2 linked regions of the Arabidopsis thaliana genome follow. The protein of the gene in region 2 interacts with the protein of the main gene of each other region in a pairwise test. Each region holds a gene or a part of one and is shown on either strand. Other genes may lie near its edges. The genes, in order: SEC15B and EXO84B.

The links.
Region 1: the proteins of EXO84B (region 2) and SEC15B interact in a two-hybrid assay, tested with the Arabidopsis thaliana proteins (one study listed by BioGRID).

Annotation. Positions count from the first base shown.
Region 1 is NC_003075.7:1,036,610-1,041,856, reverse strand, and holds SEC15B (exocyst complex component sec15B), read right to left. Parts: upstream 3,744-5,247; 5' UTR 3,701-3,743; coding exon 2,717-3,700; intron 2,666-2,716; coding exon 1,286-2,665; 3' UTR 1,259-1,285; exon of another isoform or gene 1,083-1,258; intron 1,043-1,082; 3' UTR 793-1,042; downstream 1-792. Other genes in the region: AT4G02360 (transmembrane protein, putative (Protein of unknown function, DUF538)), read right to left, coding at 214-678; AT4G02340 (alpha/beta-Hydrolases superfamily protein), read right to left, coding at 4,454-4,724, 4,825-5,063. UniProt on the Arabidopsis thaliana protein: Component of the exocyst complex involved in the docking of exocytic vesicles with fusion sites on the plasma membrane during regulated or polarized secretion. Involved in polarized cell growth and organ morphogenesis.
Region 2 is NC_003076.8:20,249,741-20,256,811, forward strand, and holds EXO84B (exocyst complex component 84B), read right to left. Parts: upstream 5,300-7,071; 5' UTR 5,027-5,299; coding exon 4,886-5,026; intron 4,725-4,885; coding exon 4,610-4,724; intron 4,410-4,609; coding exon 4,339-4,409; intron 4,179-4,338; coding exon 4,081-4,178; intron 3,871-4,080; coding exon 2,850-3,870; intron 2,457-2,849; coding exon 1,941-2,456; intron 1,727-1,940; coding exon 1,538-1,726; intron 1,443-1,537; coding exon 1,306-1,442; intron 1,220-1,305; coding exon 1,063-1,219; 3' UTR 746-1,062; downstream 1-745. Other genes in the region: AT5G49840 (ATP-dependent Clp protease), read left to right, coding at 5,503-6,159, 6,237-6,298, 6,386-6,486, 6,591-6,670, 6,884-6,934. UniProt on the Arabidopsis thaliana protein: Component of the exocyst complex involved in the docking of exocytic vesicles with fusion sites on the plasma membrane during regulated or polarized secretion. Involved in polarized cell growth and organ morphogenesis.

The sequences.
Region 1 (5,247 bases), on a different chromosome or scaffold from region 2:
TTCAAAAAAATTCTAATGTTAAATAGAAAGTCAAAAATGGTTAAATAGTCTCGGTCTCGGAAAGCTCAAATTGACATGAAAGAGAAGGGCTTTTTCGGTAGGAACTAATCATACACATACATTAATCAATTTATTAATTAACTAATCAATACTCATAAGCCAATCATAAGAGAAGGGCATTTTTTATTCAGTACAACACAAGGCCCAACAGATTCAAGAAGAAAATAAAAGCCCATTATTACAATCAAACCCACAACCACACTGAGGACTCTCTTCAAAATTAGCAGCCGGAAAACTCGCCGACGCGATTCCGACGGAGAAGTCGAGATCGGCGCCGTCAAGAGACACTTCAGCAATATTAACCCAGAAGAAAAGAACCTTAACACTAACTCCTTTCAGATTCTTGACATGACCGGGTGATATAACGCCGGAGATAGTTGATTTGTACTTGAGCTGGTAGGATTGGATGGTGAATTCACACGTGTCATTGAAGTAGACTTTGAAGTTGCCTGTTTTTGGGTTAAGCTCATAGTCAACCACTCCTTTTGGGAGGATTCCTGGTGGTAAGTTATAGAGTTTGACGGCGTCGTAAGCGGTTGGCTTTTGGCCGGAGACGGCGAAAGAGACAGTGAAGAATAGAAAGAAGACGATAGAACAAGTATTCGCGTCTAGCGACATGGTTCTTTACTTCTTTAAGTTTTGCTCTTATGATTCGTGTCTAATTTAGCATAAGCTTTGAAGTGTCTCATTAAGTACAGAAGACGAAAACAGTTGTTAGGTGTTTGTGTGTTCTGGACTGTCTGATGAAGAGACCATGCAAATTAGATGTACGGTGACGATTTGATTGACAGAGAGAGCACACGTGTTAATAGGGAAAAACGACGATCACGTGGTAACCAAACCAACCTTGATTGAAATAAAGAAACTCAGCCAAGTTTGCATTCCACTGGACTGATTTTACTATTTCATGATCGTAACTAAAACCGTACTAAGGATCCGATTGATGACTTAATGCGGTAAAAAGCTACGGCATAGTGAAAGGCTGCAGTGACATGAACTTTGCAATTCAAAATCAAACTATTGAACTCATTAACGAAAATGCTATTAATGGAAGAAGAAAAAAAAAAAAAAACAATATTGGGGTGAAATCAGTTTTAGTGTTTTTTTTTTTGCCTTTCTTTTTGAGAGACCAACGAATCATCAACAATGAAATACAAAGCAATCATATAATTAACACAAAGGACGGGATCGTACTTACGTTTTGGGTTTGTGCTGGGATCCATCATCAGCTCACATCTTTCAATCTCTTTATCAACGCATCTAAAGATTTGTTCTTCGGGTTTTGCCTCGACCCTCTTGTTCCAAAAGTCCCGAAAATACTATCTGATGGATCTCTGAATTTCTCTGAAACCGTGGCTACTTTCCGGTAATCCAAAGCATTGTAGCTTCTTTCTCTGATCACCGGGTTTACAAAATTCTCAGGATGACTACTCAGAAGTAAATTGATCATCTGTCTTATCTCGACAAACGCTTTTTTCATCTCTCTTGCTTCTTTATCCGTGAGCAATGGAGTTAGGTTCTCTGTAAACGAGTCCAACAACTGAATATCCACATCAAGTCCTTTGATTGCAGCCATGCTCAATCTTTTTACTAGATCCCCGCATAACGTTCCAACGATTTTCTCAGAAATGTGAGCAAGGACATCACGCAAAACCCTTTTCAAGACTTTAGCGGGTAAGATCTGTTGTGCGGTGGAAACCAAAGTTTCCAAGTAGATCAACACTTCGTTCATGTACTCATTCCCACCTTGTGGTATATCGTCGCTTGTCCAATTGACATTCTCGAGTAATGTCATGAAACCATCTATCTTCTTCTTAAGCATTCCTGAGAGTGTATCTTCTGCAGTGTTTTGAGATTTCGTCAATGGGAAATGCCTCCTACCTCTCTCCGCCATTCTCAAAGGAACTCCTGAAAGATGTGCAGCGTGACGGAAGAAGAAATCGCAAGCTCGTTCAAATACGGCCATGTTTGCTGCAACTTGCATTGCCTGAGAAACTCCATGAACCGACGTGCTAATCAGCTTCAACAGAGCCTCATCGAGAACCTCGCCTAGAAGCCTATCCAGATACTTCTTCACTACATCATAGAAATCAAGCTGACCTCCGTGAGACATGAAACTAACCGAATCCTCGATAAAAGACCTCACAATCCGGCAACAATCTGGGACGGTGGTCGAAAATGGAGCAATGAAAGGGAATGCCGGTACTATTTCTGATGTTTGTAACTGGAAAGAGAGCACATTCATGGAATACTCATATTCTTTCTTCATCAACATCTGCTCAAACTTATCTGCTGATAAAGCTTCTGTGATCTGTTTACGGCAATCAGATAGTAACAACTCATGATACTTGTCCCTGTGCTTGCTTAATACTTCGAGAAGGGAATCAACAGCATAGCCATACCTGCGTAGACTCACCCCCAACAAGCTCACATAATCCTTAATCAGTAAGAGATGATTAGCCGTCTGCATTCTAGAGAACTGATCCTCCAACACAGCACACATCTTAGTAACAGCAGTATCCCACAAAGTCTCCACTTCCAGCTTCGAAATCAACCCTCCTCCAGTCCTTAAAACTCTATCCTCTACTATGAAAAACCCAGCAATCTGTGCGAAAAACGTCTGATGTGACTCGAGAAACGGAGTCATAGTAGATACCTGGAAGTCAGAGGTAAGCTGAAGATCCCTATTGTTATAATAGTACTGCTTAAAAGTATCCCCAAGAGATAGTGTCTGATGAATGTGATAAGCTCTATAAAGTGGTGTCAAATCAAAACCTAGCAATCCACCTCCGGAACTACCACCATCGCTGCCTTCATGGCCAGAACCAAATTCATCATCCTCTTCTTCGTTTAGCGCATAAACGCAATCGCGTAGACTAAGTCTACTCTGCTCCTCCGCTTGTCTCTGCTTGATCCTGAGCTCCTCCTCTCGCTGACGAGCCGCGGAAGCTTCACCAATAGCCAACTGACCTAAATTCCGACTCACCACACGGATCTCAACCAACCAATCTCCAAACTCCTTATTCACTTTCCTCTCCACATAAGATCGAATCGCCGGAATCCTATTCTCAAGCATCCGTTTCAGCGTTGACGAAGGAGTTTTCTCCATGAAATCACTCTCAATCGAGTCCACACATTTCAACGCCATGTAGAAATTACCGCTCTGAAGATGCTGATTAGCTCGAGAGACAAGTTCCATAACACGAACACAATGAGTCACCGCTCCAATCGCCAGATCGACGTTCTTAGACACAGTCTGAGCCTCAACAAGCGAATCGAGAGACGAAAGAAGCGGCGCCGCAACAGATTGGAGTTTAGAGTTTGAATCGGAAAGCGCAGATTTAAGCGATTCAACATCTGAGAGAAGCGATTTAAGATCGTCTACGGCGTGGATAAAGTCTTGATAGTGAGCTTTACATACCTCTTCGATCTCTGATTCCTTAGATCGTGCGAAAAACTTGAGATGGTGAAGAAGAGTCTCTGGTTTCCCTGTACCGAAAGTTTTCCGAACAAATGGTCCTAAATCTTCACCGTTACAAATGGCAGACGATATCAAGAGCTCGTCGAGCTTCTCCGCCGAATCTATACCGGCTCCGGCGGTTGTGGAGCCAACTTTCCGCCGTCCTTTCGACGATTGCATTGTTTTATCTCCGATTAGGTATAAAGCGTTACAGCGAAGAAGAAGGAGGAATTTTGGATTTGGGACAACGAAACTGATTTGGTGGTTTTTTCTTCAAAGGGAGCTCGAATTTTGGGGTTTGACTAAAATGACATTGCTGTAGAAGCGGTGCGACGGAAGAAGACGAGGGTGTGTTTGTCTTTTCAAGCTGCGTAGTGGTTTTTTCTTCTGACTGGCGTCTTCAATTAATTGTGAATATTTGTCAAACTGAGTTTTACGCGTCACAGGCGCGTGGTCGAACGCGCTTTAGATTTTGTTGAAAATATCCACTGCCAAAAAATTAATACACCAATTCTGTTGACAAAAAAAAAACATTGGTATTATATATTTTATTGAATTTATTCAGTTGGTAGGTATAAATGTCCTTAGTAGATTTATAATTTTTGATAAAATTGTACATATATTTCAGTTTTTTGATATTAATTTCACCTAAAAAAAATCATCTATGCTTAATTGAAGTTTTCTAGAAACCATAGGAATTCAACATTTTGAAAATTAATTTGGACATAAGAAAAGTTTAAGGATATATTGAACTGGAGATGGCCAACATTTGAGAAATTATTTGTTCTATTATTATATTTTGCTAAATTATTAAACAAGCACAATACACAGATAGCATCCTTGAAAACATTACATAGTAGGGCTCTAAGACAGTAAGTAACCCTGATCAAGCTTAATCAACCTTGAATTTGACATTGTGCAGACGGAGAACTACTACAAGGATGCGGTTTCGCGGGTTCTGAATTTCTTGAAGAAGCCATAGATATGGTCAGTGACCTCGTCAGGCTTCTCTTGATGGAGGAAGTGACCTACACCTTCCATTACCACCACTTCTTGTAGAAAAGGTACGTGCTTCTTCAAACCACCTTCATGTATGTATTCCTTTGTTCCGGGGATATTGTATGTTATGTCTAGATCACCCACTATGAATTTCACAGGGACTTTGATTTGTAGACCGGTCCATGGAGCTGTTAGTTCCCAGCTTCTGCAGGTTAGGATAAGACCAGATTGATTCAAGTCCAAGATTAACCATGAAAAGATGATTGTATGATGTAGAATAGGTGGCTAGAATTCATAAGACTTACAGGTTCAGGGCGCGATAGTAGTTTAGCCCACCGGTGAAGCCTTTTTGGCTAAACTTGTCTCCGTAGAACCTGACATCTTGTTCGGTGAGCCAAGCGGGCAAAGAAGGTGGATCAGGTAAACCTCTGAAACCAACTGACTTTGGAATGCAAGGTGGACGTGGGTTACGCGAAGTGAAAAATCTGGTTATTAACTTTTTTGTATCAACTTGAGCAAAGTCCTCTTCGATCTCTCCAGGCTCCTGAGAAAAAAGAAACTCAAAATCTTTAGTAGGACCAACTTAAGCAATTGAAGACCACAAGACTGATCCAACTACATTTACTTAAAGCAAGTAACTCAAATAAAGTAAATGACTTTGACTTTGACTGCACTATATTAAAGTAAGCACTAATTGCCTTTTTCTAATCATCAATAGCAACTTGCAT
Region 2 (7,071 bases):
ATTGTTGTGTTTTGCACCCTGATAATTCGATTTTTGTAACGAGGCAAATTTTGTTAATTAAATATCAGATTCAGCTCATAACATGTGAATGGTAAGTAAGCTGAAATCAAAATGTTCAGTAATGTAGTCTGATTGTGCCTCCTCCCACGTGATTATAGACTACTATCACTTGGAATTATCATTGGAAAAGTCATTACCTGAAATCTACCATAGAGCTATCAACATCACATCTTCCTTGCCATGTTTTATACATTCTGAGGCTCCGAATGGTGACTGCGTTTTGCGGTGCGGAAGAAGTGCGGTGCGGTTCAAATAGGAACGAAAATACATAGATACATATGTATATGTAAAGATTTTGATACTGTTACAGCACTGTTGCGATACGGTTTTGGTTACCATTCACAGCCTGAGTATCACCACCTACTTTTGTTTGTCATCTGTCAAAACATGAATCTCAAACATGTAGAGAAGCAAAGGAGGTGTTTGCATCAATGGCGAGGGATGACTCTAGCATCTCTAAGCCTCATTCGCGAATGATTATTGCCTTATCGGGCATGCGTGGCCAAATTACCAAGCCTTTAAGGGTCCATGTGGTAGGTAACCGTCCTTACCCATTATTCAAACTTTTGTACATCCCAAGATCCGACCCACCGTACCAAGAATTAGACTAGGAGTTTACACAACACGATTTACTTAAAACTAATTTACGCTATGAACTACATGATTCGAGTAGGAAATACAAAAAGTGAATCGTAAGATATCTCATTCAAGTTTGCTACATCTGATCCAATACCAAAACAGAAAGAGAGTGTATCATAGAGAAGAAAGATCAACACTCTCTTCAATATTTTAACCCAAAGAATGCATCCATTGAGAGAGAGAGAGGACCAATACAAGAAAACAAACATGTCAACTCAACAACATTTACACGCCCCCAAAATCATCTCATCAACAACTGGAGACTCTACAAAATAGAAAGCTTTTGGAAAAGCAGAGCTGAAAAGAGAAGATCAAAAGTTATTGACCATTCACCTTCTTAACAAATGTAAGATGGGTTTGGTTTCAATAGCTGCCATGAGATCTCGCTGATGAAACAGACTGAGCTGACACTGAAGCAGTCGGACTGTGGACATCCCCGTTGTTGCCCTTTGTCTTGCCACTCAATCTTTCCATCGCATCCACACATATGTCATTGAACCAATCGTCTTCTGGCAGCTCACTGCACATCATTCACAACCACATTTTAATCATTTATACTTACCATAAAGGCTAAAACATTGCAAAACACCCTCAAAACCGATGTACCTATATGGATCTATCCCTGTTGCGGTGAAAGCTGCTAAGGCTTTAGATATTATCTCATTAGTTCCCCTGTGCAAATTCCTCGATAGGTAGCGACCTTGGGATGCAAAGCATATGACAAACTTCATGTCCAAATACAGCTGTGACAGATGCAGGTTGTTTGTTAACAAAGGTACACAACAATTTCGATGCTCGCTGAATATACATATACAGAAGCAAGAATGAGTGTACAAACCTGCCGTAGGCCAAGAGGTCCCAAAGGTCGAGGACCTTCCTCAATGTCATCCCAAAAGCTCTGGTCTCCAGAAAGCCATAAGATCACAGTCTCTGTTAATCGCATCAACAAAGATATGGCGAATCTTTCTCTTCCTACAAACATATCTGCTGCTAGACTTGCCATCCTGTTAAGTTTGGCAAAAAGTTCCTGTTTTCCAACGACGCAACACCCAAAGTATAAGAATATTAAGCTAAAAAAGACAGAAAAAAATCATGTTCTTGAAGTGGACAGTAGACTATGACAAACATGGATTCAACTCTACAGTATCCAATCTGCCGATAAGAGTTCCCAAGTGACTACACATCTGGGTACAGTACTTCATAAAGGCTAACTGGACTGATGGAAATGAAACAACAACTACCTGGAATATCAGAGATGGAAAGAAGTCCACATCCTCGCCATTTTCATCTATGTTTACGTACATATCCGCAGACAGATGGCTATCTCCTTCCTCAGTAAAAATGAGATCCAAGGCATGCTGGCGACAAAACGCATCTTTTAACTTGTCAACAGTACTAAGTAAACGCCTCTTCCATTCTCGTTGTTCAGGATTACGATTTTGTCTGTCCAAAGGTCTCCTTAGGTCGTCTGTCCTCTGACCAGTCTGATCAAGAGAGAGTTTCATGGCAGCACGTGGAAGTAATTCATCCGCTAGCAATGATGCATTTGCGAGTAATGCAAGTTGGTTTGCCTCCGTCTCAGCCATTTGGACAATCTTATTACATGAACTTTCAAAATTTGGATCTTCTTCTTCTATCGAACCAGGAAGTGCTCTTACCAGCACATCTACATATGAGTTAAACACCCGAAACAGACCTTCCAGAGCTTTACTTCCCAATTGCATACTTAGCAGAGGTCCTACGTCCTCAAAGAAGTCCTGCAACAAAATACCATTATCAAAAGGATCTACTTGACAAATACATCCAAAGTTCATGACAGTCCACTTGGGAATCCTCTGCCTATCAGAGCAGCTAAGACAGAATTGGTACTGCCTAGAGTTTATAATAACTTTTCAGTGGGAACGCGAGTGCAAGTTCTAATCAATCGTCATCAACGATGGCTAGTCAATTTTACAGCTGATGTGTAAACTCATATTATAAGCAATTTTCATGGGATACTGGCATATCTAAGAGACACACCAGACGTCTAAGAGTGAAAAATATTTCATTTTTCTAGGCATGTCTGCATTTCCTAAGCACTTTATTTTTCTAGCACAACTTTAGAAAAAGGCTGAAAATTTCGGAGAAAAGTGTTTGTCAAGATAGTCTACCTGGACCATGAGATTAAACCGGTGGGCACTGGATGTAAGCTTATTCTGAAATGCTGTACTAGCATGACGACTACCAGCAGGAGGACTTGTCAGTACCCAATCATCTGCAGCAGCCATAGCTGCAGTGTTTTCTTCAATTCGCTTAAGATTTGCCTCCAATGCCTGTTCCACAATAGGCTTAAAGTGCTTTAAAAGCACTGGGCAAAGGGACAAACCACGAGCTTCCAACAAAGAACAATGCCCAAGAGCTATCTGTGCACACTCTGCGGCAGCTCTTAGTCCTCCCGCTGCTGCAGAAGAAGCTAATGCATGCCTTTTAACAAGAAGGGAAAACGCCTCTGTTTGCTTAGTAGCCCAAGTCACAAGTTCAGAACTATATGCTGGCTCTTTCCCAAAGATTCCCAATGAGTCACTAGAAGCTTGAGAGATAGCTGAGAACACAAGCTGAGAAAGTGCAGCAGTGTACGCCCCTCCATATGAGGTGCTAGAAGGACGAAGACTTTGCATGTTGTATTGATATCTCTGGAAATGGGCATCAAGAAGTACAGTATGGGCTCGAGGACCATCGCCAAGCCTTTTGAGAGCTGCTATGGCTGACCGAAGTTCCCCACCTCGAGTTGAAGGTTGACAAGCAGCCTTGGCAAGTTGGTCAGCTAATTTTTGCTTGCGTTCGGCAATAGCAAACTGAAGAGATGAAAGTACAGAAGAGCTTAAAGTATGCTTTTCGTTTGCTTGAGATACTAAAATTTCTCCCTCATCAAAAGCTGCCAGAGCTTCATCCACCCTTCTTTCAGCTAATAAAGCATCAAGGTGGTCAGGAAATTCCGTAGCCCATTTCTCCAGATCAGAGAGGCCGTTGTCCTCAAAATTCAATAAACCATTCGCAAGAGATTCATCAGAAACTTTATCGTCATCAATGTTAACTCCATCTGCTAAGCCATGGATTAGAGTCGCCTGAGTGGAGAGAAGATTTCTGATAGATGATAGCTCCCCCTCAAGATCTGATATCTCTTTAGATGTGCTGCACAGAACAGAAAAAAGTTTAATTTTCAAAATAACACACCGCCAAGAAAAAACAATAAGGTAGTGCGAGGAAAAAGAAGTCATATGCAAAACGCAAATGCACCAATACCCACAAGAAATGAAATAACTTGAAAAAGTAGAGCTTTATTATCACATCAACTTCAAAGAAAATAACCAAGCACTAAAAACAGACAGGATATCAGCTAACCGTATAAAGGCTGGATAATTAGCATAAACACTTCGCCGCATTTCTTCAGCAGATGCTCTCTTCAAATCCAATAGATACGAGCATAACTGCTTTATATCCTGTGAACCGAACAGAAATATGTCATCATCCCAAAATAACTGAGAAAAAACAAAGAGTCCAGCCAAGTAATCCAACAATCTATGTTAACCAAATCAAACACTACTCTTTTTGTAGTAAACTCTAGAAGGCCTAAACTAACTTTTCCCTCAGCTCTCTCACACCATCACAGAAAGTGACTACACAGACGAGACACCCTTTATACCCAATACCATAACCGAATTGAATCTTTTCTGTAACAGAAAACGAGAACAACAGATTCTGTCTCTGATACAAGACATAGTCATCCATGTATATTCACATGAGCTACATTCTGTATTACACTGAACACATCATTTGGCAAGCTAAAAGCTTATAAATGGGTACTAAACCTATCAGCATTTCTTAAGAGTAACATTTTTACATAATCATAATTCACAAACTGCCTTCAAACTCCAGAAGATCACAAGAACAACCATACAAGCAATGAGTATTGTTACATTGCTCATCATCTTCTCGAGCGTATAAAATCTGCTGCTACCTAATATCCATTCCACAATTACGATTTCCTACAGCTAAAACGAAATGCAACAAAACAAGAACACTGCGATGATACAATCCCAAATCTACGAACAAGTCCCCACAGACTCAGTCCTAGAAAATTCTCACTCGTGATAACAACAAATCAACGAGAATAAGAACACGAAATGATAAAAGAACAGAAAAAAACCTTCTCGTTGATAGAACATTTGGATTGCACATAAGCATCAGCATCGAACTTATCAGACTTGAACAGACTCAATCCTTCCTCGACTCTGACACCATTTTCCTTCGTCGGCGTAGCTTTTGATCTGGCCGTCTTCGCCGCCATCGTTAAACTTGCCTGTCTTCTCAGAGAAAACCTAAAATTTCACAGCGGTTCCAGATCAGCAATCCCAGTGATGCCGGTAATGTTACCGGAGAATTAAGCACAGATCTGAGGGAGCTCCTAGATACGGAGAGCAGATAGAGAAAGTGGGTAGAAGAAGATGATGATCGAGTTGGCAACCAGAGCGATTTAGCCAACGACGGTAGCTTGGCTTTTTCGTCTGCTTAAACAAACGAATTTTCTTGTTGAAAACTAATAAATAAAATAACGACTCTGGGTTTTTTTTACTGGATTTTTTACTAGTAAACGGCAAAACAGAAACCCTCTCATTTGCACGGAGGCTTTCCTTTATCCTTCACCTCTGCCATCACTTGAGCTAAACCGACGCCGTTTTAAAGAATGCTTACTTTAAGATTGCCGTTAATGTAAATCTGAGCAAAAACCTTTGAAGAATCATATCATCGAGACAACAGAGAGAGATGTTTTGTAGCTTATCCATTTCCAGATTTGTCTCGAGGAAGACAATAACATCATCATCTCTTCTCTCTCGCAGTTTCAGATTCCTTCTCTCCGTTGATTCTCCTCCTCACATCCCTCTTCTACGCCCTTCTTCCAACACCCTAATCCCTTCCTCTTCCTTCTCCCGCCGTATTTGGGACTCCTGCAGCGGCGGCGGCGGAGGTGGCGGCGGAGATGATTATGATCACATCAGAAGTGACGTCAATTGTCCTCGTTGCTCTGCTCAGATGCACGTCATCTTCTCAAATCGTCCATTGTCTCTAACAGCAAGAGAACCAGGGATCTATCAAGCTGTTAATTTCTGTTCTCAATGCAAAACAGCTTTTTACTTTAGACCATTCAAGCTCTCTCCTTTACAAGGGAGTTTTATTGAACTCGGGAAAGTTAAAGGAACTGATGATGACCATGATGATGATGATGATGATCAGAAATCTTTCCCTAGGAATTGGAAAATTCAAGGTCTTAGAAGCGATGAAGATGGTGAGGATGCTGATGAGGAGGAGGATGAAAGTAATGGTGGTGATAAAGAGAAGCAATCTGTGATTAAGCTTCCAACTCCTAAGGAAATTTGTCAAGGGCTTGATGAGTTTGTCATTGGTCAAGAGAAGGCTAAGAAGGTTTGGTTTCGGTCCCTAGCTTCTTCTTCTTTGTGTCTAAATTAGATTCTTGTTTACATATCTTTCCTTTTGTGCAGGTTCTTTCTGTGGCTGTTTATAATCATTACAAAAGAATATATCATGCTTCTAGGAAAAAAGGGTTTGTCTTCTTCCATGCTCTTATCATTCTGATACTTTATATGGGATACAACAAAGCTCGATTCTTTTGCTCTTTTTTTAATAACAGGTCTGCTTCAGAATCATATAACATTGATATGGAGGATGATAATATTGATCACGTGGAGTTGGATAAGAGTAATGTGTTGTTGCTTGGTCCTACTGGTTCAGGTGCATATTGTTGCTTGCCATATTGTTTTGGAGAGTATTTGGAGATACTGTTTAGTATGATAATGATCTTGGCCTTTATGTTTCTTGCTTGGTTATAAGAACAGGAAAGACTTTACTGGCAAAAACTTTGGCGCGTATTGTCAATGTGCCATTCGCTATTGCTGATGCGACTTCACTAACTCAGGCAAGTTGTTTCACTTATCCCTCTTAAGGTTTGGGTACTCAGAACATTAGTATGTTGTACATTAGGGAAGCATTAGGCCCACTAGGATGGATGCCTTACAATCCCTCATTTCGAAAAATATTTTGAATGAAGTGATGATGTTTTTCTTGCTTTTTAGAGGAATCTTAACACAAGTCTTGCTCTTAGCATAACTAAACTACTCTTCTTGTCCAGGCAGGTTATGTTGGTGAAGATGTGGAATCAATATTGTACAAACTATATGTGGTATGTCTTACTATCACCTCATATTATGTCTCTGGTTTTACATATTTGTTTATACCTTCATTTGTAATATAATCTTAACAACTGCTTACGAAATAGTTTTTCGCTGACTACGTCTGAAACTACAAATGTACTTTGTT